4 linked regions of the Rattus norvegicus genome follow. The protein of the gene in region 1 interacts with the protein of each later gene in a biochemical or structural test. Links are inferred from orthologs where the notes say so. Each region holds a gene or a part of one and is shown on either strand. Other genes may lie near its edges. The genes, in order: Rala, Pld1, Ralbp1 and Exoc2.

The links.
Region 2: the proteins of Rala (region 1) and Pld1 form a complex in vitro, tested with the Homo sapiens proteins (2 studies listed by BioGRID). The link is inferred for Rattus norvegicus from reciprocal best matches to the Homo sapiens genes RALA and PLD1.
Region 3: the proteins of Rala (region 1) and Ralbp1 form a complex in vitro, tested with the Homo sapiens proteins (3 studies listed by BioGRID). The link is inferred for Rattus norvegicus from reciprocal best matches to the Homo sapiens genes RALA and RALBP1.
Region 4: the proteins of Rala (region 1) and Exoc2 are reported together in a solved structure, tested with the Homo sapiens proteins (2 studies listed by BioGRID, with this or other methods). The link is inferred for Rattus norvegicus from reciprocal best matches to the Homo sapiens genes RALA and EXOC2.

What each region holds. Positions count from the first base shown.
Region 1 is NC_086035.1:51,829,731-51,837,938, reverse strand, and holds part of Rala (ras-related protein Ral-A), read right to left. Parts: intron 4,916-8,208; coding exon 4,741-4,915; intron 1-4,740. UniProt on the Homo sapiens protein: Multifunctional GTPase involved in a variety of cellular processes including gene expression, cell migration, cell proliferation, oncogenic transformation and membrane trafficking.
Region 2 is NC_086020.1:112,900,491-112,908,698, forward strand, and holds part of Pld1 (phospholipase D1), read left to right. Parts: intron 1-2,758; coding exon 2,759-2,869; intron 2,870-5,666; coding exon 5,667-5,867; intron 5,868-7,021; coding exon 7,022-7,235; intron 7,236-8,008; coding exon 8,009-8,122; intron 8,123-8,208. UniProt on the Homo sapiens protein: Function as phospholipase selective for phosphatidylcholine. Implicated as a critical step in numerous cellular pathways, including signal transduction, membrane trafficking, and the regulation of mitosis.
Region 3 is NC_086027.1:112,903,880-112,911,522, forward strand, and holds part of Ralbp1 (ralA-binding protein 1), read right to left. Parts: intron 5,263-7,643; coding exon 5,155-5,262; intron 4,002-5,154; coding exon 3,880-4,001; intron 3,466-3,879; coding exon 3,345-3,465; intron 1,206-3,344; coding exon 960-1,205; 3' UTR 1-959. UniProt on the Homo sapiens protein: Multifunctional protein that functions as a downstream effector of RALA and RALB. As a GTPase-activating protein/GAP can inactivate CDC42 and RAC1 by stimulating their GTPase activity.
Region 4 is NC_086035.1:33,788,744-33,796,951, reverse strand, and holds part of Exoc2 (exocyst complex component 2), read right to left. Parts: intron 8,185-8,208; coding exon 8,104-8,184; intron 3,325-8,103; coding exon 3,179-3,324; intron 3,052-3,178; coding exon 2,970-3,051; intron 2,200-2,969; coding exon 2,097-2,199; intron 1,599-2,096; exon of another isoform or gene 1,387-1,598; intron 1-1,386. UniProt on the Homo sapiens protein: Component of the exocyst complex involved in the docking of exocytic vesicles with fusion sites on the plasma membrane.

The sequences.
Region 1 (8,208 bases):
TTCACATATGTTCACACTTTCTCAAGAAATTCAGTTACTACTTAGGGAATTAAAAAAGTACAAAAACATAAAAACCTCCCAACCTCAATAAAATTAGAAACAAACAAATATAAAAAATAACTTGTCACAAGTGTGCAAACATATAAGCACAAATGACAAAGACTACATGCCGTCTTACTATGCCTTTAGCTCTCAAGGGAAACTAATTGGAGAACTCCCAGCAGCAGACATATGGAGAAGGTACTTGTACAGGAGGGAGGAACAGTGTGTGTGCATCTCCTTGTACTTGTAAAGACAGAACCATCAAAGGATAAACCAGATACTCACTAGCTTACAGGAGCACTATTTTCAAGAGCAATGGAAGACATCAGAACTGAATGTAATTTCTACCTGGAAAAATTACAATTTTGTACACTAAAACCATAAATAAAACACAAAATTCATTAAAATTTGAAAACTGGAAACAATGACTACATTCCTAGTTGATGACATAATCATGTAGAGAAAAAATTATTTCAAGGGTCTTTAGAACACAGTATATGGAAAATTCACCTTAGGTGTTAAAGATAAAAATAAAAGTCTAACAAGTAGGACCATAATGCCTTGCATGCAAGAAGCTCTATGTATGATCCTGAGTCTGTCTGTCTGTCTGTCTGTCTGTCTGTCTCACATACTCACTCACACCCACATCTACATAGATGCATACACACACTCATACCCACATGTATACACATGTACGTACACACAAAAACACACATGCATGTGTACACGTACACACACAGAACCTCAGCAACAACCAAAACAAGGCCAAACAAGTCTTAAGAATCACTCCGTGGCTCACTGTGAGAGTGACTCACACACACACTCTGGAGGATAACACAAGTGTTGCTGCTAGAAGCAAGGCTTTCCAGGATGAGTGTTACCTCAGAGATGTAAGGATCCCGGAAAGAAAAATCTGAAAGGGCATTAATTAATACTGTGAATTCGTGAGCTTTTCTTTTATTTTTAAAAAGACTTCCTGACACTGTTCAATGGCAGGGCCACAAGGCGGTGATAATAATGAGAAGTAACGGGCAAACAGGCTCCGGTTGACGGCTGAGTAACAATCTATCAAATGGGATTTCTGAGTTGGAACAATAAACATAAAACTTAGATGAGAAAGTGAGGGAACTATACATGCTAATGCCTCATCAGACAGGGAAACGGATGAATAAAGGGTAATTCTGGACTGGGGAGCATACAATGCTGAAATATCACAATGGCATAGACCAGTGTTGGGATTCAAAATCTCCCAGGGATTTTTGGAAGCCTCTGCTTCCAGTTCAGATGGGACTAACTCTAGCAGGAAGCCTCCTTTTTGGTCAAAGAACTCCATGGGAGTCTTCCAGTACTGGTCTCTGTATCAGCACTGTATCATAGTACACTGTGAAATGGACATAGAAGAAGGCTTAACTTTCTAGCAAGTGGATGACTTTCAGAAAACCACCCATACTAGAAAACATGGTAGACAACATTTAAAGTTGCATCAGTTAATCTGATGAATGAAATCCTGTTTCAAGTGCCGACCAAAACAAACATCCACTAAGGAAGAGAAGCCAGAGTCAGACAGCCAGCAGAACCACCTCCCCGTCTGCCCGTCTTGTTCTCCGGGCTCCACCCTCTTTTCTCATAGGACAACTCAGTGCCTATAAAATGTGGCTTTCTAATTCCACACTAATTACCTGAGAAAGTAACCTTTTCACATAAATAAAAATAAAGTTAGACAAAACAAATCCACAGGTTTATACTTGACTTAAAATATCCATTGCTTAAAAAAAAAAACTGCCTTCACCAGTATTTTCACTTTTAAGTATTTAGTGGCCCTGAGTTCACACTAAAGACTATTAAATTGTCAACAGAACCAAGGAGCTATTATAAAAACGAATACACAAAGGAAGTAATATGTGTGTATGTGTGTAGCTTAGAATGGTTGAAAGCTCTAAGGAAGCCATACAATTCAGAAATCACAAAATAAAATAATCAAAATGTGACAGTATAATCTACTTTTCCCCTGTTCAAAGATTAAGTAAGCCACATGAAGACATGTTACAGATTAGGAGACAATAATGACAACAAATGAAGTGGACAGGGGATAATGTTATTATTCTAGACAGACACAAGTCAAAAGGTATGCAAGTCATTAGGCAGATGGACAGAAAGACTTCAGATTGGCAGATGACTGGGTCAATCAATCAATCAAAGCACATGCATTCTCACCCGTAATCAGGGCAAGTTTTAAGGGCTGTTTTAGTTGGGCTGGCAAGGACACATGAAAGCAATTTCTTATAAAGATAATGGAACACAAGGGCACTGGTATGGTGGGCACTTTGTCACCTGTCACCTCTGCTGAAAAAGAATCCGTGCATTTTTCTGATGCACAGAAGTTTGGTGGGGTGCTGTTTGTAGTAGAAAACTGTGTGGGTGCTGGGGGAGAGATAGCTCAGCAGTTAAAAGCACTTTCTCCTTTGAATAGTTGGGTTCAGTATAAGGACTCATCATGACTTAAAATTGTTATTAGACACATGTAGCTTTAGTCTTTCACGTCTATAAATACTGTTTCAATGACTATCACTGTAAATATATTTATGTGTGCATGATTTTTCCAGAAAATACATTTTTATTTTAATACTTTTGAATTTATTGGCTTTAACTTCCTGCAACTCCTCCTAGCGTTCCCCACTGCCCTACCCACCCAAATTTATTCTCTCTGAAAAAAAAAATCAAAACAAACACACAAACCCCTCCTAAAGACAAAATAATACCAAAAGCACAAAAACAAAACAAAAAGCACCCAGGAACCTATTGAGTCAGGCACTCCTGCTCTGGTCAATTCTCCTGAGCCTACGACCTAGGTCTTGGTGTAGGTTAATAGAGCAGTGACAGTATACTGGAGAAAACTGATTTTCTCTTTCCTGGTCACTACCAATTACAAATAGCTTCTTGGTTAGGAATGGGACTTTGTGCCACTTTCCCTTGTCTACAGTAGAACAAAATACACGTTTAGAATCTCAAGTGCTGGGTCACAATTTTAAGAGATTAATATCACATTGCCCTTCTATAAATATGAGGCTTTTTTACATTTCATGCCAAGAATATACTGCCATTTTTTCCCAATGAGATAGGATTTAAAAAATGACATTACTTTTTTAAACAGTACATTTGTTTTTTTAAGCAAGACTAATGTCCTTTTTAAGTTTAAAGCCATGGACATTTTTTCTGATAACGCATTTAGACTGCATTCTTGCTGGATTGCTGGCTGTCTTCTAACTCTCCTGGGAGAGCCTGACCCCACCTGGCATTCTTCTGAGGTCAGCACCAGACATGGCTATGACAGCATGGCTCATCTCTCTACACTGCCTCCTCTTTTTGCCCTTTTTTCCCTTTCCCCTTAGTCTTAGTCACTTTTAGTGTGTTCATAAGTTCCTGAGGACAATTAGGAAGAAAGATATGCCTATGTTTTGAAAACTTCCTCACATTTAATATTAAAATGTATTTTAGAAGAACTTTAAAAATATTTAACATAATCTTACAGAAAACCAGTATAGTATATGGAACAGAAATATTGTAGGACTCACTGTATCCAAGTACTAAGTCTGACCACATTATTAAAAAATTTAATCATGACAACATGGTCATAATATCTATTACAAATGAATAGAAAGAACTGCTGATTTTTTTTTAACCTCATGTTTTCTGCCTCAATTTTTTCTTTTTTCTTTCTTTTTTCTTTTCTTGTGTGTGTATTTTCTTCTTAAGACAAGTTCTCATTGCAACTGTGTAGTCTAGGCTGGCCTTGACCTCACAGACAGCTGCCTGGCTCTGTCTCCAGTGTTGTGATTAAAGGTAAATTCTACTATGGCCGACCAACCTCATGCTTCCTAAATCAGTATTATGGACTTCTAAGTATAAGCCAACTGGTCTACAAACACATGAGGCCATCTAGAGCAATATGAGCTTTCTAGAAATGTGTATTCCCATTCTAGAACAATTGAAGCAAAGTCCTTAGTGGTGAACCTTAAGGCAGTGTGTGTGCTTGTTAGGATTCAGGGACAACTGGCTGGACAGTGGGTTTAAGGGGCTCCTCCGGATAGTCATAGTACACAGTAACTAGAGAGCACCCTAATGAAAATCTCTAAGCACCCTGAAGATATCTCCCCTAATCCTGGAAAGGGTTCCATCCAGAAGGCACCCTCCCTTCAGAGGACTTCTATAACACTAGGCAGGCATCAGTCAGAGCAAGCACATAGCATGTTGGCATGTTAGGATCTAAAGAACTTCTTTTACAGTATACAATCCCATTAAAAATGAAGGCAGTAAGTGGGATGAGGAGTGCTACTGATGACCTAGAACACTATATTCTTCTGTAGTGTCTTATATCTGAGAAGGCCCAAGACAAGGTGAATTTCTACTGTCTTACTTAAACACATTCTAATCTCTGTCAGGGCTGGTAAAATGGCTCTCGGGTAAAGGTGCTTGCCACCAAGCCTAAGGACTTGGGTTTAATTCCTGGTGGGAGGAGAGAACTGTTTTGTGCTGTCTTCTGACTTCCACAAGTGTGCTATAGCTCCCTCCTGCCCTCAATAAATAAAAGTAAACAAACAAATCACTATATTAAATTTTAGTTGGATCTTAGAGTCTAGATAAAGTAGGGTAACAGGGCTTTTATATACATGGTACAGTAACAATGAGAACACCCTTTACCTTGTCAACGTTGGCGCGCGTTTTAGCAGACGTCTCCACATAGTTAACGTTCCACTGGTCAGCTCTGTTTTTTGCCTCTTCTACAGAAACCTGCCTTTTATCTTCTAAATCTGATTTGTTACCAACCAGGAGAAATGGGACATTCTCATCTTCTTTTACTCTTAAAATCTGTTCCCTAGAGAAGTAAAGCAAGTGAGAAAGTATTGACACAATGTCTACATAGTAGAAACCACAGAACAGGGACCGGAGCTGTCTCAGCAGCCAAGACGGTCCTTGTGGAGGAGGATCCAGGTCAGTGTCCGGCACCTACATGGTGGTTCACAAGCATTCCTAACTCCAGCTCCATGGGATCTGATGCTCTCATCTTATCTGTGTGGGTACCAGGCACACTTATGGCACACATAGCTACATGTATGTGTGCCAAACAGAATCATAAATATAAAATAAGTCTAAAATCAAAAACAAGTAAACAAACCCCACAGAATAACAACTAGCCATCTGCAATCAGAACTTATTTACAAGCATGTTTCTAGATAATCCAAGTTCATGGTTCCTGCCAACCACTAATTTAGACACACACTCCCTTGACTGAGGATGGAGAACCCCAGCAGAGGGAACACAAGCACGGCAGTAACAGAAGAGCTGTGAGGACAAGCTCTGCCGCAGGACACACGGCCTTCCCTGGTTGCTATCCGAGTGTGAGCACATTTCATGCATCACAGCTTGACATGTCACTTACTATCCAGATCCAAACCCATCTCCTTAGCTGTTTTCATTGATTTTAGCGTTTCCTTTTCAGTGTGGGACAGAACTTATGGCTTCACAGACGCTAGGCACATACTCTGTCACGGAGTCCCGTTCTCAGCCTGGCTCCCAGTTTGTACACAGTATGTCTTCCTGTTCCAGGCACTCATGCAGCACTTGGCGCCCTGACATTCCAACAGGCTGTGCGGACACTTCACCCAGCCTATCCTTACTTTGAAGATGAGCTTGGAAGATGAGGGGGACATTGCTGAGCTGTTTCTTTGGGACTTTTCTCTTACTTAAGCTGAGATTACGGAAGGAGCTTTCAGAGACAGCACTATTCTTATTACATTCCAAAGGCCCCTCCCACACAGGCCCGAGATTTCCAAAAATAGCTCTTGTATACAAAGATGTTATATGTTACAAGATATCGCTGACTGTCAAGTATTATGGCTCTGTTCTTCCCAGTCATGTGATTCTGAGCAAAGTACTTCTTTGCCTCACTGCCCTCATATATATGGTGGGATTGACAATGCATTCATTACTCACACAGTTGCTGAGAGCATTAAAAGTGAATGCTTATAACTATGTGTGGTGATAGTCAATTATACAGTGAGTCATAGGTGCTCTCATTAGTACTGGAGCAAATGCCTAGCTAGTTTGTCTGTGTACGTATCTTAAGGTCCTAAGACTGAATCTCAGGCCGTGTGCACACGGTGGAAGAGATATGCCACTGAGCTATGCCCTCAATCCCTTTCATTCTGAGAGAGGTCTCAGCAAGTCGCCAGTGTGGCCTGGCCTTGAACTTGGGATCCTTCTGCCTCAATATCACAAGGAACTTGAGTTACAGGTGTCTGAAACCCTGTTTGGCCTTTTCTGTTTCAAAATGAAGAAACATGGGCTGGCTGAAAGACTCAGCTAGCAAAGGCCCCTGTGGCCAAGGGTGACAACCTGAGCTCATTCTCTGGGACCTACATGCTAGAAGAGAATGGAGTCTCACAATTGGTCCTCTGACTTCCACATTCGTCCTGTGGCCTATGTACACAAACTAAATAATAAACAAATAAATAAATGGAATTAAAAATTTAAAAGAAACCAAAATAAGTATCTTAGATCATCTTGCTATCATAGACATGCCATACCTTTGAAATTATTAAGAGATGCAGAAATTATAGGAACACAAACATTTTTAGTTGAGAGAAAATAAAAACATGAATAGATTCTTTGAATGGCAGGTCAGTAAAATATACCTGATTAGTTTGTACAGCTCCACTGTGTAATACTTGTTACCACTAATATGATCTTTAAAATGTGTATCAGCAACTCACCATTCTTGCTACTTAATTTATGATCTGTTTTGGAGAGAATTTTAGCCTATCCTGGCTTGTTTCTAGGGCCTCGTTTTTCTTTCGAGAGTCAGTCCTGTGGTTCCAGGCTGCACCTTTACTCTACAGCAAAGATGCCTGTGTCACCTCCCACTGCCGGGACTACTGCTACATGTTAGGTTACTTTCTTAGTCCAGGCTACTTTCAGACATTACTATTCAAATGTTAAAATATGAAAATCCGTTTAAAACCCAGCTCAATTTTATTTTGGAAGTAAGGAAAGGAAGCTCCAAAGCTTCTCAAGTCCAGTGTAGATCAGCCACATGCTGTACTGTTATATGCTCATAAATGATGCATGTAGGAAAGAAACAGGTCTTTGAGAAAGACTTCCTGGTAAGAAAAAAAAAAGTGTAAGTTCAGTAAAAAAGTATGGTAAGCATGGAGCTGGAGAGAAGGCTCAGAAGGTCAGCGCACTCGCTGCTTTCCAGATGGCCAGGGTTCTATTCACACACAGTAGCTAACAACCGGAACTTCAGCTTCAGGGGTCCACTACCCTCTTCTGGCTTCTGTGCTGCATAGGCATACAAGCAGGCAAAACATCCACACACTTTTAAAAAAGTGTGGTGTGGTAAGTTTGACACTAGCAAGCGCATCTGAGGAGACAGGGAAGCAAAGGCCTGCCTCAGTGACAGATAAGCAGGAAGGGTGAAGGCTGCAAGTATTTAGGAACAGCACCGATGCTAACTAACTTTCAGGTTGAGTCATGTGCAGCGATGTCTGTAACCAGTCAGACCGTCTCAAACTGACTTTGCTGTGCTGCTGAGTCTCTGGGGCTGCTCAGAAACTGCACTGAAGGTACACAGAAGAGCAGCAGACAAATCACCCTGATTTCCCAGTCAACCATAGCGATAGTGACAAAGTCTATTCCATTACCAACTGCAAGGCCTGATTCATAATAGACCCTTTGGTATTTTTTGGAGGAAGGAAAGGGCATGTATTAGTACTTATGTAATTTTCCATGTCTCTCAGTTTACAAGTTTTCAGGGTCTGCACTATGCAGTATCACATGTGAAATTCTTTTACAGAAGCCAACAGATTTAATCTTCTAAATCAGTTCATTTTGTGCATTTCCTCAACCACATGCTTTTGTTTGGGGGACGACTATTCGCTTAGATTCTGAGTTTCAAGTATATGATGCTCAATAGTGTTCAAACACTGACATATCCTCTTTTCTCCACGGTCACCTTCTTATGATACTCTCCCAATGACTTCCCTTTCTGGACCATATATAATGATCACTTCCTACTTTACCCTCCATGTAAAGGGGTTTTGCACCATGCTTTATATATACAACTAGACTGTGTAAACCCCAATTAGAGGATATAGTACATAGTATTAT
Region 2 (8,208 bases), on another chromosome or scaffold:
TTTGCTGAAATAATCTTGATGGTTTTATAAGCCTACACGATTACAACACAGCAAATGGCTTTACCATAAAGGAATGAGTTTTCCTTGCCATTTATAGAGTTTGTGACTGTGTTGTAACACAGCTTGTAAAAGAAAAGAAATCATGGCCTTATTATCATGGGAATCTGCCATGAATTAGCTGTTTATTATAGGTCTAAGCATAAGTATGTAAGATAAACCCCAGTATAAATCACATTAAATTACTTCCTTGTTAGCCATTGGTATTTAAGATAAAAGTAGGCAGAGCTTCTTTCTATTTTATTTCCTTTAGAGTCACTTTGGTCAAGTGAGAAAAGACATGGTATGAGAGAAAATGCCAGGTGTAATAATTAGAAGGTATCAGTGCAGTCCATTAGAGTTCACATCTTCATTATCTAAAGATCTCCCAGTTACTGCGGTGAGTGGAAACTGCAGGAATTAGGCCAAGCACCTAGTATGAAATCCTGCCCTTCATGCACGCTATGTTTTAAACTCCATAAGTAGAATTTGGAGGCCTGGAGAGATGGGTCGGTGGTTAAGAATGTTTGCGGCAAAATCATGAGGACTTGATTTCAGATCCATGTCCACACAGAACTAGCTGGGCACAGTTTAGTGTGGCGTCATCACCCCTATGCTGTGGAGGCAGAAAGAGGAAGATGGCAGGGCTTTACTGGCTCACCAGCCTAACCAAACAGTGAACTCCAGCTTCAGGGAGAGACCTGCCACAAAGGAGTAAGGGACAGGGGGATAGAGGAGTGCACAAAGTGCCTTTCTCTGTTGTTCACATGCAAGGGACCCTGTGGGAATGTATGAGTGCTGCATGCCTACCACACGCACTATACACACAACAGAATTAGTGAAACACTCTCAAAGGCAAAGCCGAATTTCATGCATTTGAAATAAACGAGGAATGGCCTCAGGTATAACCACATATTACTTAGGTTGAAATTTTGGGTTGTAAACTAAGTTGTATTTCCCCCTAGTGTCTTCTTCAAAGCACTGACCATAGTTCAGTGCTAAAGTTTCAAATATTTAAAAGAACAGATCACAGGAAAAGAATACAACCTGACTTTCCTTTTGACCCCTCAACTAGTGTTTTATTAGAAAGTACTGCCTGGCTAGTATCAGAAATCAAGCTGTTCCCTTCTTTCCCACATTTTTATGTGCTTATTTCTTTATTCATATTATGTGTGTGATAATCTCTTTAAAAGATATTTCTAATTTTTAATTACATGTTCGTTGTGTGAACATGCATACATGCACACAGTATTTACAACGGCCTGAGATGTGTATCAGATCCCCTGGAACTAAGGCTGTGCGGCACTCTGGGTTCTGGGAGTGAACCTCTCATCCTCTAGTGTGGCCTGCTCACTTCTCTCTAACACATCATTCTTTAAAATAGATGTGTGTGTGTGTGTGTGTGTGTGTGTGTGTGTTTGTGTGCGTGCATGCTGCAGCACAGGTGTAGAGGTTTTTTCCTACCACCTGGGTTCTCCCTCAAGCTGTCATCAGGCCTGGCCACAGATACCTATATCTGCTGAACTAGCTTGTGCTTTTGAATTTGATTATAACAGTAACTGAACAGTCACCGTGAGCAATAACAAAAACATTCCTAAGGCCAGGTGTTAGCTACAGAAGTAGAATTTCATGCATGTGTATACACGCACGTGCAAACAGTTGTGCCAAATAGGTTAATTTTGGGGGTTTTTGTTGTCGTCTTTTCAGAATAAGGGTGGTGTGTCTTCTAATACACCTCATAAACACCTGATTGTATATCTAATGTCCTGCCAAAACCATAGACTCATATTAGCTGTAACTAGTGAAATGATGTGGTCTTATAGGAAATTCACATACTCTATCATATTGACCGAATAACAGTGGGAAATGTATTTCTGTTATGTACTACCTGAAGGCATGGACTCTTAAGGCATTTGAAGCTGTAGTGTTGTGAGAACACGTGGCTCTTGTTGGTCAGATGGTACAAGTCAGTAGGAGTTCGCCAGGTGCTTTCTGCTTTAATTTGACAGTGAACAGCTCTAGCTGTGTTCTTTTGGCCCACTGTCTAGGGGCAGATCTGTGTTAATTTGTGTGTCCATGTTACACTTAGCTACTGGTAAGAGAAGTCCTTTTGCTAGTGATGTAGACATTCAGTGTCTAAGTGCGAGGTAAGACTTAGCACATTCATCTTTGAGGAAATCAATATTTTTCAGGAAAGAAAAATCTTACTTAAGCTCCACCCTGAGACATTTAGGGAACATTTGGCACTGGCTGTTGCTTTGAAGGCTCAGGTCACAGTTTTCCTGGGTGATAAGTGAAAGGCACTGCAGCTACTGGACACTTTCAGGCACTGAGGCACTGGTCTCTGCATTCTGGATGTATTATTAGTACAGTACCAACACTCATGTGATTAAATGTGTATGAAGGGAAGGGGTGGTTTAATTGATATATATATATCAAATTCAACCCAAGCTGGCCTTGAACTCTCTCTATTCCTAAGCTTAGCCTTGAACTCTAGTTTCTCCTGACTCTACCTCCCAAGTGCTAGAATGACCAGTATTTGCCACCACACCTTTTAGGTTTTTTGTTTGTGTCTTGATGTAATGTGTGTCACTCTGTGTACTGTCTGTTTGCTAATTATTTTCATACCGCTTTGCAGAGTAAAGGAAATCTAACACAGGGAAAGGAAGAAGGGAAGGGGTCATAACTGTCTCGGTGCTCATTCCTGTCTTTCTTGTGACAGCAACAAGGTGTGCGGATTTTCATAATGCTTTACAAAGAGGTGGAGCTAGCCCTCGGGATCAACAGCGAGTACACCAAGCGGACTTTGATGCGGCTGCACCCCAACATAAAGGTATCCTGGAACCAAGGATTACTCTCCCACGGTGGCCATTTCTGAGTAGATTCCCTTCATGCTCATTTTGAATGAACAGCATCAAATCTTCTGAAATGCAGACAGTATTACACTTTCTTGTATTGCTTTCCAAAATTAGCATGCAAAGGCATGTAAATCACACATACATACCATATTTCTATTGAACCCCTTCTCCATCTCCTTTGCCTAGCATCCTGCTCCCCTATGCAGTGCAGCAGCCCACACCTGTGATCTCAGCACTTGGAAAGCAGAAGGAGAATTGTCATAAGCACAAGACCAGTCTAGGTTATGAAGTAAATGATAGGTCAGCCACAGTTACATAGGAGGACTCTTTGTGTGTGTGTGTGTGTGTGTGTGTGTGTGTGTGTGTGTGTGTGTGTGTGTGTGTGTGTATGTGTGTGTGTGTGTGTATGTGTGTGTGTATGTGTATCAGAGAGAGAGAGAGAGAGAGAGAGAGAGAGAGAGAGAGAGAGAGAGAGAGAGAGATTGATTATGTGAAAGTAGCCAGGGCTCTGGGGTCAACAAGAAGAGAGAGAGAGAATGAGAAGGAAGTCTGGTGACATCACGTATAATGAAACCTATCATTCTGCATGTTCACTTAAAAATAAAATTTAAAATGGGTTTTTAAGATTTATTTATTTGGGCTGGAGAGATGGCTCAGTGGTTAGGAGCACTGACTGCTCTACCAAAGGTCCTGAGTTCAAATCCCAGCAACCACATGGTGGCTCATAACCATCTGTAATGAGCTCTGATGCCCTCTTCTGGTGTGTCTGAAGACAGCTACAGTGTACTTACATACAATAAGTAAATAAGTAAACAAATAAATCTTTAAAAAAGATTTATTTATTCATTATATATAAATACACTCTACCTGTCTTCAGACATACCGGAAAAAGGCATTGGATTCCATTACAGGTGGTTGTGAGCCACTGTGTAGTTGCTAGGATTTGAACTCAGGACCTCTGGAAGAACAGTTAGTGCTCTTAACCACCGAGGAATCTCTCTAGCCCCTTAAAGTGTTTTTAAAGGAAGAATTCAGGGTGGTGTGGTGGTTCCCACCTTTAATCTAACCACTAGGCAGAGTCAGGAGGATGTCTGTATTGGAGGACACACTTGTCTATACAGTGAGTTCCAGATTAACCAGAGCTGCATAGTGAGGTCCTATTGGAGGAAGGAGATGGGAGGAGCTGGAAAAGGAGAGGAGGAGGAGGAGGAGGAGGAGGAAGAGGAGGAGGAGGAGGAGTCAAATTAAAATAAAAGAACATATCAAAACTGATAGAAATTAGCAAAGTACAAAGAGGGGAGATGTTTATAACCATAAACAATTCGTTAGAAAAGAGAAAAGGTCTCAAAATGTCAGTTTAATCTTAAAGCTTTAAGGATCCAGACAAAGGAGAACAAAGCAAACCTACAGAGAGCAGAAGGAAGGAAATCACAAAGGAAGCATTGTCCCACCACTGGCAGAGCAGGAAAAAAAAAATCGGTGGAACCAAAAGTTGGATCTTAGAAGGATTGACCAGTTCAAGAAACAAACTGTTATGTGGAAGAAGAAAGGAAAAGACTTTCTGAAAGGAAGAGTTTCTGAAGGCAAGCCATTAAAGAGGGGCCTGGGGAAGAATCCACGGGAGTGGTAAGGATTCCAGAGATTCCGTGAGCACAGGCACACCCAGTAGTAGGGTCACCTGCCTACGAGGCTAACTTGGGAAGAGGAATGACATCTGGATAGATGCAGCCAGTCAGGAGATTGATCAATAACTAAAAATCTCTCCCCAGGGGTCCCTTTGATGACTTCACTGATGAGCTCTACCCAACAGTTAGGGAAGGCCTATGTCGGTCCTTCTCAAATATTTTCAGGGACCCAGGAAGGAAGACTGGCCAGCTCATTACTTTGGAAAAACTGAATGATGCACACTAAAACTGGTCATGTGGTAAATTTCATGTTGTATATATTTTACCACAATATATGAAAGTGTTAGCCAATATTCTTAGGGTCATCCTAATTCCAAAACATAGGATCATATAGGGGGTCATCCTGGAGCAGTTGGTCAGTTTTTCCTAGTACCTTCATGTATCTGTATGCTTGTATCATTGGGATACAAATATAATTTCTTCTTTTTTGTTGTTTCTTTGTTGTTTTGAGCCTGGGTTTCTCTGGCTGCCAGGAACTTACTTGGTAAACCAGGCTGGCCTCACAGAGAACCGCTTGCCCCCTGCCTGCCTGCCAAATGCTGGAATTAAGAGCCTGAGCCACAACCCCCAGCACAAATATACCTTATAGATGTCTTCCCACATGTGTGTGCTTGGTTAGGTGTTTTATTTATTTACTTATTGATTAATTAATTAATTTATCCCGAGGGTTACCCTTGGAGGGGGTTGAAAGAGAACCTACAGTTATTAGACTAACATAGCTTTAATGGTTGCCATTCAAGTCAAATGACAATTTCTTCAAAATATCTCCTCTGGCTGAGAACTTAAACCATAAGAAGGCACATGGAGGGGCCTGCACCTGGAATCCAAGCATTTAGGAAGCTGAGACAAGATCTCAAGTTCAAGACCAGCCAGGGTAATCCTCAAAAAGAAAAAAAAATGGATGCAAGTCTTTCTCTGCTAATACTGAGAATAAAATTCGAAGTTTGAAAAACTCTCTTTGGCACTTCTAGAATACCTTTTTGTCTCTGAATTTCTTGGAAGAGTATTTTTCAAGGAGAAAGCATCCCTATCTATTGTGATGTGAAATTTATAAAGTGCATTCTCTGTGGATTTCTCCCATCTCCAGGTGATGAGACACCCAGACCATGTGTCCTCCAGTGTGTATCTGTGGGCTCATCACGAGAAGCTCGTCATTATCGACCAATCGGTGGCGTTTGTGGGTGGGATTGACCTGGCCTATGGACGGTGGGATGACAATGAGCACAGACTCACAGATGTGGGCAGTGTCAAGCGGGTCACCTCAGGACAGTCTCTGGGCTCTCTCACAGTGAGTACCTGGCGCCTGTGTGGGACAGCTCGAAGCTGGCAGGCTTGTCTAAACCCATATGCATAGCATAACTGAAAACTGACAGGCTTGTCATAAGTAGCGTGACTGACCCAGTAATGCAGAGCTGGCTTGGAGCAGGGAGCTAACTAATAACTTCTCAAAATACCTGCCAATCAAGAGCTGCCAAAATATCTCCATTTGCTTATGCACCTGCTTTGTGTTTCAGCTCTACACAATATATTGCAATGTATTTCTTGCAAGACTTGATGGGCTCTTATTTATAGATGGGAATATCTATCAGTTGCTTTTCTGGGGGTTGAAAGAAAGAGCACTGCACTGACTAGCATATTCCTTAGCTCTTCTCATTGCTGGGACCAAGTACTCCACAAGAAGCAACTTAAGGGAGGTAGGATTTGTTTTGACCTGCAGGTTAAGGGGTATTAGTGGGTAAGGGGTGTTCCTCAGTATGCTGAGGAAGGTGTGGAAGCAGGAAACTGTCCCTTGTGCATCTCATTACAATTGCAGTTAGGAAGCACAGTGAAGACAAGTGCTCAAACCTCAAAGCCCACCCACAGTGATCCCCCCCCTGCAAGGTTCCCCCTCCTAATGCCTTTCAAAACAGTGCCACCAGCTGGGGACTAAGTGTTAAACAGCCAGTGGGGGACATTTTGCATTCAAAAGATGCGCAAAGGATTAACAGAGGAAGTCATGGTTAATCAGAGAAGTTGGGTAGTTTAACAATGAATTTAAATAGTGTAATGACTGGGAGATAAAGGGGTTAGGAAAATGAAGTTCAAGTTTTACTTAGGCATTGTGGCATGCACCTTTAATCCCAGCATGTGAGGGACAGAGGCTGATGGAGCTCTTGAATTTGAGACCAGCTTGGTCTACAAAGCAAGTTCCAGGAAAGCCATGCCTAGAAAGAGAGAGACCCTGTCTCATAAAACAAACAAATAAACAAACAAACAAGAACAAAAATAAGCAAACAAAAGAATTTGGCTTGCTAAAGAAGAATCCACAGCAGGGCTCATTTGGCCGACCACCTGAGACTCTAGGAGAGTCTGTTCTGGGGCAACCACTTGTTAACTGCCTCTTAGCTCTAATTAATCGAAAGCCCATTGTAGTACATTTCATGCTTGGTCTTTTTTTCTCAGGCAGCATCAGTAGAGTCTATGGAATCCTTAAGCCTCAAGGACAAACATCAATCTCATAAAAACGAGCCCGTCTTAAAGAGTGTCAACGATACCGACATGAAACTGAAAGGCATAGGGAAGTCCAGGAAATTCTCCAAATTTAGCCTCTATCGCCAACTTCACCGCCGTAATCTGCACAACTCGGACAGCATTAGCAGCGTCGACAGCGCTTCCAGTGAGTCACGGCTTCGCTAGAACTTCCGTTACCCCGTGACCCTGTGGGTCTCGCAGCCCTTGCCTATTTGCTTTAGAAAGATCCGTGGTGGCAGTCAATGGACGATGTGCAAAGACTGCCATGCATCGTGTGTGCCACCATGGCACTGTGACACTGTGTTTTGAGACACTGTGTCTCAGCTGCGGCCCAGGCTGGTCTCAGACTCACTATGTGATAGAGACCGATTGGAGCTCTTGTTTATCCCAGATTGGGATCACAGGTCTCACCTATTTTAGAAGGTTCTGGGGGTTAAACCGGTTCTGGGTGTGCACTCAGGCACTCTACCAATTGAACCTTGTGCCCAGTCTCTTTTGCCTCATCTTAAAAACATATTTATTATTAATACAGTGTAATCATAGCCACTATTGATACTTTCGATGGTCGCATAATGACTAAAGCTTTCTAAAATATGCCAAGCTATAAAGAGAAAAAGAGCATTACGTATTCTTTATAAACCTTTCATAGGATAGATTTATCTTTTTCAGTCAGAGATATATGAAGCTTGTAGCAGCAGACATCAGATATCCTATATCGTATGAATTTACTACTCTTTGCAAATCTTGCTTAAAGTGCTGTGATTTTTCAATCACACTAGCTCGTATGGCTGACTTTATAGACCTGCTTGTTCTGAAGAAGATTAAGCATGCTTTCAAGTTTATAAAATTTGATACATAGATGTGTATATGAAAATACATTTCTTTGTAAAACAAAAAAGAACTCTCAACTTTCTCCAGGTTATTTTAACCACTATAGAAGTCATCAGAATTTAATCCATGGGTTAAAGCCCCACTTGAAACTCTTTCGCCCTTCCAGTGAGTCTGAGCAGGGCCTCACTAGGCACAGTGCTGGTAAGTGACTGGCTAGTGTCAGAACCCCATGGGCTTCAGCTTTTGCTGCTTCCTCTGCTGCACGACCACAGTGAGTGTGTGTCCAT
Region 3 (7,643 bases), on another chromosome or scaffold:
CCAGGGGGGGTCAATTACAGTTACGCTTTCCTTCCTTCCGCTCAGTTCTGTCAGAGTCCTTAAGCAGCCCCTTGAGATGACATGGACAGGTGAAAGTTGTGCATGACAGCATCTACATGGCTTATCCTGGCAGAGGTGTGGGTATCCCAGCCCAAGCTAGCAACTGAAGTCACTGTGGAAGGTGACTTTCCTGGAAGGTCAGTGTGGAAAAGGACCCTGGTGTGAGAAGTGTCCTGTGCAACCTCAGGGTCAAGGTGGTCATCTCTGACCACCTCTGAGAAGAGGCCCTTGCTGCTCCCTGGCAGTGAGTGGGTGGCCTGCCCTGCCCAGGCTGGTGGCAGGCTGCATGGTAACCTCCGTCTGCAACCAAACTGGGCCGTCCTGACTCACACTGACAGACCCGGAGCTGGAAAAGCAAAGTGGTACACACAGGGCAGGTACAGGGAACCCCAGCGAGAGCCTTTTTGGCCAGTCAGAGAATATGAGGCAGCTCCCCACTGAACAATCTGCACCAAAAGGTGTGGAAGGCACAAGCAAGAGTGGCCAGGGACCCTGCAGGGCTGGTGAGACCACGAGCGTCCACAAGGCAGGCGCAGAAGTGACCTGGTTTGGTTCCCACCCTTTGATAAGAAAGAGATCCTGATTCTGCTGTGATTTAAACAACAACAAAAAAAAGCAAAAAGTTTTTTGGTTTAAAAAGAAGCCACTCAAGGGTTAAAATAGTTATTTTTAACAAAGAAAATTAATTTTCAAATAAGCTGACACTATCTGGAAATACCTGTGTTCCCTGCAAGCCCCCCACCCCCGAGTGTCCACCCCTTCACTCTCCCAGGACCTGAGCCTGACACGGAGTCAGACGTGTGCAAGAGCGAGCGTCTCTGAGAGCCTTCACAGAACGCTGCCCGGCAGGACAGGCAGCGGACTCTCGCTTACAGTACGATGCACAGGGCCGGGGCAGTTCAGATGGGCGTCTCCTTCCGGTCTTTGCTGGGCGAGGGCTTCGCCTGCTCCTTGGCTGCTCTCACCTCGAGGACACCTTCACAGGGTAGTGGGCCTGTGCCCCCTCGCCTCTCGGGCTCCTCCTCCTCCTGGAGCTGCTGCTCAGACTTGGCTCGCAGCATCTGGAGCAGCCGGAGCTGCACTCGGAGCTCAACGATGGCCTCCCGCTCTTCATGGACTGCCTGGTTCAAGTGATTGTTCTTTATCTGAAAGAATGAGAGGGAGGGCAGGTACCACTTAAGCAAGGTCAGATGGACAAGGAATCAGGGCAGAAGAACACAGGACAGGCTGCAAGCAAGCTGTCCTAAGCAAGGGTCCAGTTCTACTTCAGACGACCTGACTGGTCAGCACAAGACAGGAAGACAAATAAATACCACTGGAGGCCTAGTGACAAAGCAGTAAACACACTTAGAAAACAAGGCACCGACAGAACCATTGCTGACTAAGTACAGTGCTTCAATGGCTTCTTTCCTCACCCTGGTTTCTGAGAAGCCCACCAGGGAGTAACACAGGTAATTTTAACAGCACTGAGGAGAGGGAATGAGAGCGGGGATAAAAGCTGAGACCATTTTCTCTGTAAAATCTGTCCTTGTGTGCTGTGCTCGTTCAGCAGTAATTTGTACAGCGACCACCCCAGCCATCAGAATGCCCTCTTCTTCGTCAGTATTTCCCAGCATCCTCAGCAGCTGGGTGTGCCCTCTAACAGACACCTTTGCTCCAATGAAGTGAGCACAGGCACCAGCCCCACTGCCTACTCAGTGTGACACTGGGTGTGCCTTGACCCTTTTCTCCCCTACTGAGAACGTGGCAAGATTCAGGGCAGCCGCTTTGGCCCAAGCAGAAAAAGCTGTGTTAATGGGCCTACACATTATGCACAACAAAACACTACACAATTCTGCTGTCTGACTTTCTGTTCAGGAAAGCAAGAGCAAACTAAGGCACCCATGTGTCTTCTCCAGGGCAGAATTCCCATAAGGCACCCATGTGTCTTCTCCAGGGCAGAACTCCCAGGATCCCTGTCTTACTCACACGAGCTTCCTTTTCTGATTTGGTTTTTCAAGACAAGGTCTCAACTCTATCGACCAGGCTAGCCTCAAACTCAGAGCTCCACACCTGCCTCTTGCTTCCCGAGTGCTGGGATCACTCAATGGGTGCGGATACACGGCTGGGTGCATGTGAAGGGAGCTGGCGTCAATCCAGGTCCTCAGGCCGTACTGCCTCCACCTGCTGGGCCATGTCACTGGATCCCTACCTGCTTCTTCCCCAGGAGAGCCATCTGCTACAAGTGTTAAGAGCATCACTGCCCCTCACTCGGCCCACCCTCCCAACAGTGGACAGCAGCGGTGGGCAATTCTTAAAATACTATTTTTATTTAATGTGCATTGGTGTTTTACCTTCATGCGTGTCTGTGTGAGGGTGTTGGATCCCCTGGAACTGAAGTTACAGACGGTTGTGAGCAGCCATGTGGGTGCTGGGAACTGAACCTGGTCCTCTGGAAGAGCAGCCAGTGCTTTAACTGCTGAGCCATCGCTCCGGCAACAATAGTTTTCCTATCTTTTTGCTGTGATTTTTCAAGCCCTGACTGTCCTAGAACTCACTCTGTAGACCAAGCTGGCCAACAACTCAGAAACGCCTACCTTTGCTTCCTGAGCCGCCATGCCCAGCCACTGTGCAACTCTAGACTCCCCTGTGCACTTGCCTGGCAGTTGAGTGAACATGGATGAAGCAAAGGCGTCCTGTTCACCCAGTCGTCCTCACAGGAGACAGTGTGACAATGTTTTATTTGGGATGAGAAAGGAAATTACTTGGACAGTGTTTCCTTCTCAGTGGAGCTTCCCTGGCATTTGGTCACATCTGCTGCTCTGTGGGGCAAGGACTACAAGACAACTGTCCCTCAGTTTACAATGGGCCGATTCAAGGGACTCACTTTCTCCACTGCAAGGCCACGGAGGTCTGTGGCCAGGCACCATTCAGCTTTTATAGGCTCACTTATACACCAAGGCTAGACGGCCTAGAGCACACGCCCCATCCTGGTAAGAATGCTCTCTCTCAGGGGGCTGGAGAGACAGCTCAGTGGTTGAGAGCACTGACTGCCAGAGGTCCTGAGTTCAGCTCCCAGCAACTACATGGTGGCTCACAACCATCTGTAATGGGATCTGACGCCCTCTTCTGGTGTGTCTGAAGACAGTGATAGTGTTCTCATATACATAAAATCTTTAAAAAAAAAAAAAACAAAAAACAAGGTCCTTGAATTCTCCTCCACAAGTCTCCAGCAGGAAAATAGGTGGTTTGTGGTCAAGAACACTTGAAGTTGCTGATTCCTGGGTACTGTCCCCCAGACTTACTTCTAACTCTTCATTCTGCCTCTGTAAGTCTTCCAGAATGATCTGCAGCTCCTCCTCATCCTCGCTCTCGCTCTCGCTGTCAGAGGAGTACTCCTCTGTCTCGCTGCGGCCATGCTGGCGACTGTGTGGAGACAAGGGAGCGTTATGGAGTACTCAGAGGCCAGCTAGAGAAGCTACCTGACCCAAGGCTGTGTAAGACCTTCTAAGGAGCCCACAGGGACTGACATTCAGAAGCCCAGTTCTTTTATAGGAATGGCTAAAACACTGGTTCTCGACCTGTGGGTCTCAAACAACCCTTTCCCAGCGGTCGCCTAAGACCATCCAGCTGCATATCAGTATTTACATTATGATTCATAACAGTAGCAAAATTACAATTATGAAATAGCAAAGCAAATAATGCTATGGCTGGGGTCACCACAACGTGAGGAACTGTTGAAGGCTTGGCGCATTAGGAAGTTGAGAACTACTGACTAAAACAGCTCTGCTCATGTAAACCACAACATGGCTGAACCTTCCAGCCCCGTGTGCCCTGTACCTCTGGATCTCCGCAATCTCAGCTCGGAGGCGGTCAATCTCTTCTTTCTCCGAGGCGATCTGACGACGCAGAAACTGCTCCATGGCCAGGAGCTCCTCCTGCTCAGTCAGGATCTCATTCTCCTGAAACAGTGATAGCGGCTCGGGGTGGACAAGGTTACCACCTCCACCGTGCTATTGTCTCGGAATCAGGAAAAGCTGCCTAGCCATGTTGAGAGAATGTCTAGACAAACGCACACAACGCCAACGAAACGCACACAAGAACCTGCTGCTGCTCTCACAGGCTCCTGTGAGCTGGCCACCCAAGGCAAAGGACCAAATGTCAGCATCTGCTTTGGCTTGCTCAGGGCTGGGGAGGCTGCTCGGCGGTTAAGAGCACTTACTCTTCCTCAGAGGACCCAAGTCCAGCTCCCAGCACCCGCCTCAGGGGCTCACAACCACCTGCTAGAGGAGGATCCAATACCTTCTTCTGGCCCCGTGGGCATCTGAGCATTTGTGTGTGCAACACGCGTGCATAAGCAAACATAACCTAAACACCATCTGCTCTGCTTCCTGGCTCTCAGGATTCAGGGACACAGCGGCTTCTCACAGTGTCACTAGGAAAAGGCCCAAGAGAAGCATGTGTGGCTGGCAGCAATGTCAGGTGCAAGGCAGAGCAGAGAGGAGGAAAGGTTACAGGGTTTCCCTTCCTTCCTCACCATCCCCAGCCATGCCTTTTGGACAGGTCAACCATTCCTTCCTAAACTGCTCGAGAAGAGCCCCAGGGAGAGAGCCTGTCTGCACTCCATCTCGGGTCCTCAGGCCTAGAGAACAGTAGAGCAGAGGAGGACTCGGAAGCACAAGCATCAGCAACTCCCTGCAGACAAGGAGCGCCATGGGCACAGCCCAGGAAGCACTGAAAAGCCCCTGAAAGAGGCCGGTTCTCCACGTGCAAACACACTGACATTCTTTGTCTGCCCTACATGTGGATGGAGCTGTATGCCAAGAAACCTCAGGTGGGAACTCTCAAGAAAATAATCTGCAACTTCTCTCTCCTCAGAGTTTTTGTTTCTGTTTTTTAAATCAGGGACATGCCAACAACACAAACTTCTGTGTAGACTCACAGAGACCAGGAAGCCAGACAGAAGGCAGCTTCTTCTCTACACTTAACATCTCAGCACACACAGTACAGAATAGGAACAAGTTCTTTTGAGCCAGTCCATTACAACTTTGGTTTAAAAAGTCTGTAGTTGAGCTTCTATCTGGAAAGTGAATCCCTTTGGGAAGGGAAAGGTACCTGGGCAAGGAGGATATTTATGACCTCCTCGTTTTCGTTCGTTTCTTCTTTGGAAACATCCTCCTTCGAAAGGCTGGCTATCTCCTGTGCAATCTTGGTCTCACACTCCTGTCAAAGACAACACACGATTTATTGTTCAGCCCACATGTACCACATAGTCAACAAGTGGCCCTCTCAAATTAACAAGATAGGAAACCTCGGCAGCGGTGGCAGCAGCAGCAGCAGCAGCAGGGGACTGTCTGTAATGATGGCTGGACATCTGCTAACCAGGCTTAGAAGGTACTGTAGGTAGGACCAGGCATAGTGGAACAAGAACAGGCCTTTAATCCCAGCACTCAGGAGGCAGAGGTAGGAGGACCTATGTAAGTTCAAGGCCACCCTGGTTTACACAGTAAGTTCCAGGACAGTCAAGACAACACAGAAAGACCCCACCTCAAAAGGCAAAACCCAAACCAAGCCATCAAAGACTGTAATGTGGGTAGAGACCGCTAGGCGGCTCTGTGGTGGACACTTACTTGCTATCAGAAAGCCAGACAACCTGGGTCCCCTCCCCTCCCCAGGACTCACATGATGGAGAGAACTGATTCCGGCAAGTCCTTCTGACTTCCACAGGTATGCCATGGCACGTCCACACCCACGCGCACACTCACACACAAATAAACGTTTTAAAGTAAGGAAAGAATACAACATGGTCACCTTGGTCTATGGCTGCACTATGAAAAATGCATAGTTCTGATGAATACGCTCCCTTAGTCTAGACTACATGAGACATCTTGAAGGGAGCTACTGGGGTGTCAATTGTAAGCCTAATTTAACTAATTTTACCAAATACACACAGTCAAGTAGCCACCCCCACCACCCTGTTAGGAAACATCCCGTTGCTACACCGCTTGTGGTGCCGGACCCTCTCTATCCCCACAGCCTCTGTCATGTCTCAGGGGAGCTGACCAACAAGTCACTCGTCTGTAGCCTCACACTTGGCTTTAAGATGTGCCTGTCTACTGTGCTGCATGAACAGTGGCCGAGTGAGAAGCAGCACGCGGACCCCTCAGCTTATGTCCCCCAGCAGCTGCAGGGCTCCGGCTGCTGCTTCCAGCTGTTACGAAGTTGCCCGTGTTTAGTGAAGGCTTAAAGGTTGCTGCTGCTTCCCCTAGAGGATAAATGCTGTGAGTGGATTTCTGGGGTGTATGATAAACAATCGTACAGTTAATTTCTGGGAAAGTGACAAGAGGATAGCAAGGTTTAAACTGGTGCTAGACTTTGTTCATATTTTCAGTCATTAATCCACTGAATGATATGTCTTTAAGTAAGTTCTCCCTCAAAAGTAAAGCCAGCATGAAGGAACCTGGGTGTATAGCTAAAAAATAAGGCAGCAAGGGGAGGGAATGGTCGGGGAGAGACTACAACTGGTAAAGGGAAGAAGACAAGACAGCCATCTCTTGTCATACCCCCACACTGCTTCTGAGCTCAATACCAAAGTTCTGTGTGTGTGTGTGTGTGTGTGTACACAAACCTGTATAGTCATGTACTTGTGCACACATGGGTAGAGGCTAGAAGTCATTTGTCAGATGTCATTCCTCAGTCAGTTCTCCGACTTAATTTTGAGTCATGGTCTCTCATGGAGTCCTCTGCACTGGCTGGCCTTCAAGCCCAGGGCCCTCCTGCTGTTCCAGTGCTGATCATAGGCATAAGCCATGACACAAGCACATAACTCCTAGGTGTGAGTGCTGTGGACTGAATTCTGTTCCTTACTTTTGCCAAAGCAGGCACTTCACCAACTAAGCCATCTATCTCCACAGCCGTGGGCCTTTGATAACAGACACACAACTAAGAGACACAAAAGGCAAACATCTACCTCTGTCCTATGGCAGGGACCCTTCACGTAGGGCTGCTGGACAGTGCAATCTGCCCTGTGAAACTCAGGCACACGTCCAAAGCCAAGCATGATGTCCCGAGCCTACCATCCAGCACATGCCAGGCAGAGGCAGCAGGATCAAGAGTTCAAGGTCACCCTGACTATAGAACCAATTTGAGACTACTGGGCCACAAGAGAGCTTATTAAAACAAACATACAAACAAACAAACAAACAAACAAACAAACAAACAAGAGGTCATAAGACAGGAAACAAAGGGCAGACCATTAAGTGAGCTAGAGAGAACAATAATATGAAAGGCTTCCTTCCCAGGCTACACATCCTGAAAACTGGGTGCGGTTATGCCAATCTTAGACTTGTCCCCTCAACAAGCACTCTAACCTCAAAGCAAAAGGCCTTAGGTGCCTGTCGCCTCAATAACCCACTACTCCACTCTCCAGGTCTGAGAGGTGCTAACTAGTGTCTGTCTGTAGGCTGTGCTACTCAAATCTGCTGCTGGATCTGCATGTGGCTTGTAAGATCTTTCAGGGTGTGGAGTTTAGCTTTGATGGCTGAAAAACTGAGTCCAAACGCAAGCTTTACACAGCAAACTAGCATAAAACCAGAAGTGGGCCT
Region 4 (8,208 bases), about 18 Mb from region 1:
AGTTACTGCTTTTCTTTTTAAATTATATACTAGAGAACATTTTGAAGAAGGCGTTTTGGAAAGGTAGGGAGGTGGGGTGAAGAATCTTAATTCTGATGAGCACAGATTCAGAGTTTTAGAATTTAAGGAGGAATATTTTCAGTGAAACTCTGGGCTCAATTCTCAGGAAACAAAACAAAGGAAATCTAAAAGCCTTTCCAGCCACCTTCTTTGGGATTCTCAACAGCTCCAGGAGTAGGGACACACTGGGGAAGAGAGAGAGAGAGAGAGAGAGAGAGAGAGAGAGAGAGAGAGAGAGAGAGAGAGAGAGAGAGAGAGAGAGAGAGAGGAGAGAGAGCGCTGAGCACTGCTTCTTGCTAAGCTGCATGGAAGAGGATACCTTCAGTTATGCCCAGGAGAGCAGGCAGAACAGCAGTGAACTATCACTCCAACTGTGGATGGCAGAGTCAAACACACACAGCTGTGCACAGGCTGTCTCTGGCTTTACTTGGTGCACACAGGACCTATCGCCATAGATGTTAAAGTCAAACAGACTTGACCTGGTTCTGAGCTCAGTTTTAATCCACTAATAGCTAGAAATGTAATTTTAAAAGTTAATCATCAGATTGCTCAGTGCCTTCTCAAAGTTGTAGCCACAAGTTAATGCACTTCTTGAAGCACATTTAGCTCACTCACGCAGGAGGAAGCAAGCTAACCTTCTAACACACAAGCAGCAAAGCTTCAAGGCGCTTAGCTAACTCACACCGAGTTTATTTCAACTTTAAATTGTGCAGTTTTGCAAGCCAGGGAAGTTCCTCAACTATAACATTTCCTCAAGGCAGAGAAGAAAGGAAAGGGTGGGCTCTGACACCAGATAAGCAATTGTTGGGGCTGTGTATGCTGGACCCTTTGGCCAGAAAGGAAACACAGTTAGCACCCAGCCCAGTGTGGGCACATGGCCTGCATTTCCTAGAAGCAGCAATCAGTTCACTGTTCTCTGGATCCACTGTTAAATCCTCTGTCCTGCATCTGCTCCACTGTTAGCCTAGAAGATAGCTTAGCCCCTCCTTCAATGCACAGACAGCAGTGTCCGGGGACAGGCTGTCTTTCCAGGCCTACACACAGTATTTTCAATGTCCATAAGATGACCACAGGCAATACATATGCACGCATATATGAAGTCATTTTAGAGCTACTGAAGTTTTAGTAAATTTCATTAAAGAAGTCACTGAATTTGGGAAAGAGCCCTTTATTCTGAGTTCAGACCCCACTTAAGATAGCATAGCAGAAAACCAAGTCAGTATTTTTAAATCTTAGTTACAAAACTCTTGTTAATTTATGTTTCATCTGCAAATGCAGTGTAGGCTCTGCACAGCTACAACTCACTGCCTGCTCCTTATGTGCTAGGTTCTGAGCCGACTCCCTAAGAAGACCAGCTCCTCAACAGCCCTGAGCCAGTCGTGCTGCTTGCTCTGTTCACTCTGCCGATGAAGAAACTGAAGAGCAGGACTCCAGAGCAGCGAGAATGAAAGGCTCATTCCTCTCGGCATCTCCACTGCCCTGTGAATCCAGCTCCTCTAACACTGCTGAGTATTTCTGAATGTATTGCCAACTGAAAACTATTCCCACAGTTACTTCTCTCGATGATCACTACAGACATGTAAATCTGTATATTTTCTAGGGAAAACCCTCCTATCCTTCACTACTGTCCAGCCATGGTACACTTCTGAGCTATAATTTCCCACCTTATGGAGTTTGGCATTTGCAGGTGCAGAGCCCAGTCAACCAGGGGAGTCAGGTGGTAACCATTACTGAGCAGGAAAAACAGGTCTGAGCGATGAGACTGCTTTTCCTTCAGCCAACCTGGCAGGCTGTCTGTCCTGCGGGGGCGGGGGCGGGGGCAGGGGGGGGTGGTTGAGGGTAGGGTGGCTCTATAATGGCTCCCAACTTATTTATATTCCAGGAATATTCATGTCCTAACCAAATACCCCCAAATTTCTATTGTCTTCCCTTTTACCATTTCATCAGTCCTTTGATTCGCCCAAATTAGTTTTGTGGGTTTTACAATATACTCAGTACAGATATGCAATTTACCAGAGTTCTTGCACATGGTTTACCTTATGTAACGCTTCTGGTCATGTAAGGTTGACGGAGTCTCGAGCAGTTTCTTTAGAAGTAACTCTCTTAGATCTTCAATTCCTGCCTCTACTTCAGCATAATCTATTTTTAAAAGATGCAAGATTTACAGAACTGAATTTAAAATCACTTTCAGAAAGCAGAATACTGGTTGCTTTTTGACTCAGAGGAGACACAAGGGACCTTTGTGGAGGGATCAAAACACACCATCTCAAGTGTATAGGAGGCCATGAGCATTCGTCAGAATTCAGTGACCTGTAACATGTAAGGTCTGTGCATTTCACTGCATGTAAATTTCACCACAGTAAAGAAATAAATTCTGCTTTCTGAGGCCTTATAGATTTCATTCTTTTAAATTTAATAAGACCTATGGTATTTCTCCTAGTTAATAAGTTTTTAACCATAAGATATTTAAGCTTTTATTTTCTGTAACCCAGTATAGAAAGCAATTTTGAAAAGTATTGAGTTTGCGTTAGAGTAAGAGTAGAACTCATAAATACATGGTTTTAGCTTGAAAAGGGAGGACTGAAATGCAGATTTTCACATCTGTGAAAAACTTGCTGCTGCCTCTCTCTAGTACAAAAGTTTTTAATGCACTGTAGTTAAAACAACAGCAGAGCATCTGAGACCGGCCCTCGCCTCCCCATGAACACTCACTCCCACCACACAGCAGTAAGAAAACCCGTGAGGTTACATTGCACTCATTGCTTTACGTTTTAAAGAAAGCACCATATAAACAAGACTCAGGACAGAAGTGCCACTCTTTACAGAATATACACTCTTTACAGAGTATACACTGCACATTCCTCCTGCAAAAGGAAAAGACAGGTCTAAAAGTAGTAAATAAGTCTTACATTTCTTGAAAACTTGCACCTCCGTTTTCCCAAAGAGCGATTTGGCTTTTTCATAATCATTAATAACCACATCATAATCCCCCTTGAAAATAAGAAACACGTTGTGAATCATTAGGGAAGAACAGTGAGCACAGGGTTAAAATAAAATATACCACATACCTTAACCATCTGTAAGATCAGCAGCATCTGCACACATACATATGCTGTACCTTTTGAATGTTCCGTTTGATATTGAGAGGAAGGTTGAAGAGAAATTTAAACCGCTGAAGCACGTTGAGTGCATTCCTAGTGGAATCTGCCTTGTCTTTCCGACCTAACACTTCTTGAAACAATGTGTCAGCAGTATTACTTGCTCCTGTTGTAAACAGAGAGAAAGGATGATCGGTGACAATGACCTAAATCTGAGCACTAAAAGCAAATGGTAACGTTACACTGCACTGAAATTCAGTAAACTTTTTTAAAGTTACCAATATAGAGATCTTTTACAGTTTGCTAAAATAAAATGTCTAGTTTTTAAGTCCTTTCATATGTTAAGAATGGTATCTAATTAAAGCAGCAACATTTACTAAATAAGCTCAAATCATTTTCTCCAATATGCATATATACTTATTTTAACTCTCTAAATTTTATAATAATTCTGGGTATTTAAAGAACATGCACGCGTGCGCATGCACACACACACACACACACACACACACACACACACACACACGCACACCGCACCACTTAAATTTTATTAATTCTGCATCATATTACAGGTAATAAACGGGATATGGGAAACTGTTTTCAGAAAAGTATTTTTTAAAAGTCATTACCACTAACTCTCCTTCTTGATAAAATTATCCCTCAATGTTGCAAGCATAGAAAATTATATGAACTTTAAATAACAAAATTTTAATACAACATCACTACTGTTTCTTAAATCAGCTAAAAAAAAAATCATGTATGACCACGTATGACTCTTTCTTTTAAAAAGTACAAATTACACATATCACTTTAAATAAAAGCTGTTTTTCTAAGGCAAAATTTGCTGTATACAAAAATAGTTTAAATTTTGCAACATGTGAATTAATTTTAATTAGCTACAAGGAAAAGAGAGAGCAAGAATAAAGTGCTTTCAGCTGTTTGACCTGCTTGTAAAGTTTCTACATTATCTGGTCTAGTGACTATACTTTAAGCAAAGATGAAAAACTCACCTCGCCTCGCTGGGTGGCTTGCACACCACAGCCACACTGTGGGTGGCCTGATCCTGTTAAAAGTCGTCTTTGTAACATGATTGTTTTATCTAAATAATGTTTAAATTCTGTTGAAATTTTAAAGGCCTGATATAAAAACTTCGTTTGGTCAAGAGAACTGTTTTTCCCACATGTTATTTAATGTGGATACTAAACCTCTATTGTGGGATGAGAAATACATTTCCTTGTCACCAAGCCACGTAATGAAGGCTTGAGTGAGTACTGAAATCTGATTAGAATTTTAAAACTTCTTCAGAAAAAAAGTATCATAAAGCATTTGCTTATCATTTTAAAAGTATAAACATCATTGAGTTTAAGCTTTGTAACTTAAACTTCACACAGAACAGAATCTTTTCTGTTTATTTATTTATTTACATGTAAAGTATGGGCCGAATACTAGCAAATTCCTTTTTCTATGCAATGAAAGAATTCAGAGTAAACAGTCTGAATTCAAATTCTTCTCATCATTTTAAAGTAATAAAAAAATTCCAGCTAATAATTTAAACTCTAAAAATATGAAAAGAAGAACAGGTAGAAAATATACTTACTCTTGAATAAAATATAATTTTTTCTAGAGATAATTTTATAGGAAGAAACATAAACTGAAATTAAACTTTATGCCAAAATTTGTGAACTGAGAACCTGAATTTATACAAGGTTGAAAATTATACAGACAACTTCTGCAAATAAACTATGATTTGCTGTGATTTGTACTGCACTCACAATAAAAATTCAGTTCCTAATTCTGACAACTGGGAAAGACATTAAATGATACAATGTTTCAGAGCAATGTAACTAAGATCTATCTACACATCACATATAATCACCAGCAGTCACAAATGTTCGGGGGTCTCTTCTAGGACTGCAAGGAGACAGAAACCTTGTGCAGAGGAATGGGGGTGCTCACCATATGTGGGCTAATGATGCAGACAAAAGTATCAGCTGGGTATCCACAAAACCATCCCACCAAAATCCTCCATGTGTGTTAATCCACATACACCTTGCTCTTTCCCTCACACCAAGAATGTCCAATTTTAAGGCAACTGACAAGGTTTTGGATGTTCACTGTTGAACACAGAATAAAAGTATGGAGATTGGATGGACATGCATGCATGCCTTTGCCCTAAGACACACGATTTAGTAGACGATGGTGCTGGGCCTCAAATATCCTTTACCCTTGTCTGAAAATGGCCTCCTCATCAGTTCATTTGGATAATGATTATCACTGTCTCACACATGGGCCCCAGAAACAAACTAACTGCAAAGCCATTATGTCCACCACAGTGGCCACTACAGTGGCTGGGCCCACAGAGCAGTAAAATGTACCCTAGGGTAGCAAGGGAAGAAGTTGCTTTCACACTAGACACTAATCCATTGCACTCATACCTGTCTCTTACAGACACCTAGAAGACCGACTTATGCCATTCTAATGGTGTCTTATAATTTCAGGCATGTTTATTTAGAGTAGACATTATGCTGTCTTCTATTTCAAGGTGAAAACACTGATCTCTTTCTTTGTAAGGGCAACTTGAAATGGGAGATCACAGAAGTAAGATGTGTGTATGTGTGTCTGTGTGTGTGTTGTGCCTCATAGGAATCTAGGGGCTGGAACAATGCAGGATGGTTCCCAACCATCACAGTTTGCCCCAGGGAAAGACAAAGTATTGAGAGGAAAAGCAAATGTGAAAGCAACTGGAGAATTAAAGTACCTCAAAAATGCACACTGATACTTGGCAAAGGCAGGGCCTCCCAAAGACCAAACCTATTCTGCGTGCCTCTGTTTCAACAGGCGCCAGGATGACTAGATAGTTGCTTTCTGTAACTGAGTGACAGAACATAGTAGCTGAGACAGTGTACACTACTTACTCACACAACCATGTCACATCCCAGAGCCCTACAGATCCACATGGTACACACACACACACACACACACACACACACACACACACACACACACACACACACACTTATTTATTTGGAAGGCAGCTTGACAACAGAACCATTTAACAAAACAAGAATAGGTTTCTCAGTAGGGTTTAAAACGCTTCCCAACAAAGGTTTCAGACCAAGTTTATAGCAGCAGGCATGAATCTAAGGCTCACGAAGGTGTCAGCTACCCTCATGTTAGTCACACCCTATTGCACTGGTGCATGTACCATGCCTGGCAGTTCAATTCAATAGCATGCTGGGTCCATGCTATTGGGTAAGACTGTATTGATATACAAAGCTCATTTGCCCGATTTAATACAAAAAAGATGTAGTTAAAGCCAGGAAGATACTTGGTGATCAACTCTGAGGAATTCCTGATTCAGGTTACGCAATTATATGTAAAACTCAATTATATTGTATAAACTCAACAAAATTTTCTCCTCTATTCTCTCCTTGTGTCCTAAACTGGCTCCTTTACCCAAGACTAGAAATGTAAATGCCTCACAAACCATGTTCCTTTTTTAATTGCATTTATGCAGCCAATGTTCCAATGCTCCCATCTTTATTCTGCCTGCCATGGGCTCCTTGTCTGAGCTATTGAGCTCACTACAACTGTGCCCTTTCTCTGGTCTCCTATGGAATTGAATCTATGCTGATCCCATGGCGCCTACTCTTCTAAGCACGCCATCACATAGCTTCCTTACTGAGCTCTTTAAGTGCTCGCCATCTTCAGGACTAATTCTACTCTAAGAACTCTGTTGGGCACAGCAGGCATTCATATCGCTCCCTCACTACCTTGCAGCCTGTCTCCTCCCTTTAGTGCTGCTGAAGCCCTGTCAAGAGCCACACCTGATCTACCTACCCCACTGCCTCCCTGCCCTCTCTGCTTATCTGTGCAGTTGTATCCTGTGTCTCTCTTAAGATGCAAAAATGGCTTTGGTAAAATTCAGAACATATTCATTTTAACGAGGTTTATGACTTGATGCTCAGAGGCAAAAGCCCAACAAACCCAAGACAAGCAACAATCACAGGAGTAATAAACAAAGGGAAGGGTTTTAAGTCCTGTTAAGTCCAGAAACTTGGATGGAATGTACAAGGATTCCAATACTAACACCAAGGAAAGCCTACACCAATCTTTCCAAAAAATATTTTCTTACTGACATCACTGGACCTATGAAGAAATGGTTACATAAGGGCCCAGGATGTTCTACTCATGGGACTAAACTATGAGACATAAAAATAAAATTCACTTTGTTTCATAACCCTGAATTCACACAATCTCTAAACATCTACATGAGGTTGCTTTGATTTTTTAACCCTTCTCTATAAGGGAATTGTATATTCAAGGATTATCTTATGAACATAATTATTTCATAGTACACATTGACTACATGTGTGAAACATAACTTACATTTAAAACATGTAATAGTTTTAATAATAGTACAAATTAATTTATCTCATCAATTTCTTCTAAGTTATTAGGGTAAGTATCTTGGAATGTTAGAAAAAGAACAAAAGGGGAAATGGAGGAAACACAGAACTTAGGGTCTGTTGGGCCTACAATTTTTACAGAATGTTCTAGAGTGTGTCCCTTTGGGGAAATGCAAAGTGTAAATAAACAGACACCGCCTGGGCTTCTGCTGTGCAGGAGCTGAGGCTCTCTGCCCTACACACTTGCAGATCTGACGACGACGGAGACTCAGGTGTCCACTCAGTAGTAATCCCGGCTGCTATCATAGTGCCTGTCTGTTTTCAGGTAGCAAATTACAGTTCTTGAGAAATGTAACTTCAGACTATGGTTTCTAATAAGTAAAATGCAAACAGACTCATTCCTTCAGGTTTTTAAGTCATTATTTAGAAGTAAATGCTGAAACACAACTCAAGCCTTGCCTGGGAAATCCCTCAGAACTAACTGTACTATACCTGGCTATAAAGGCCATTCATAGTCTCAGGGAGTAGAGCAAACTTACTGTTGAGGACATTCTCCAATTTCTGTGTCATGGATCCTTCTACTTTTTCTGTTCCGTCTGCTTCTAGTTTTTGATGGATAGCTAAGAAAAAGCAAACAAACCTAG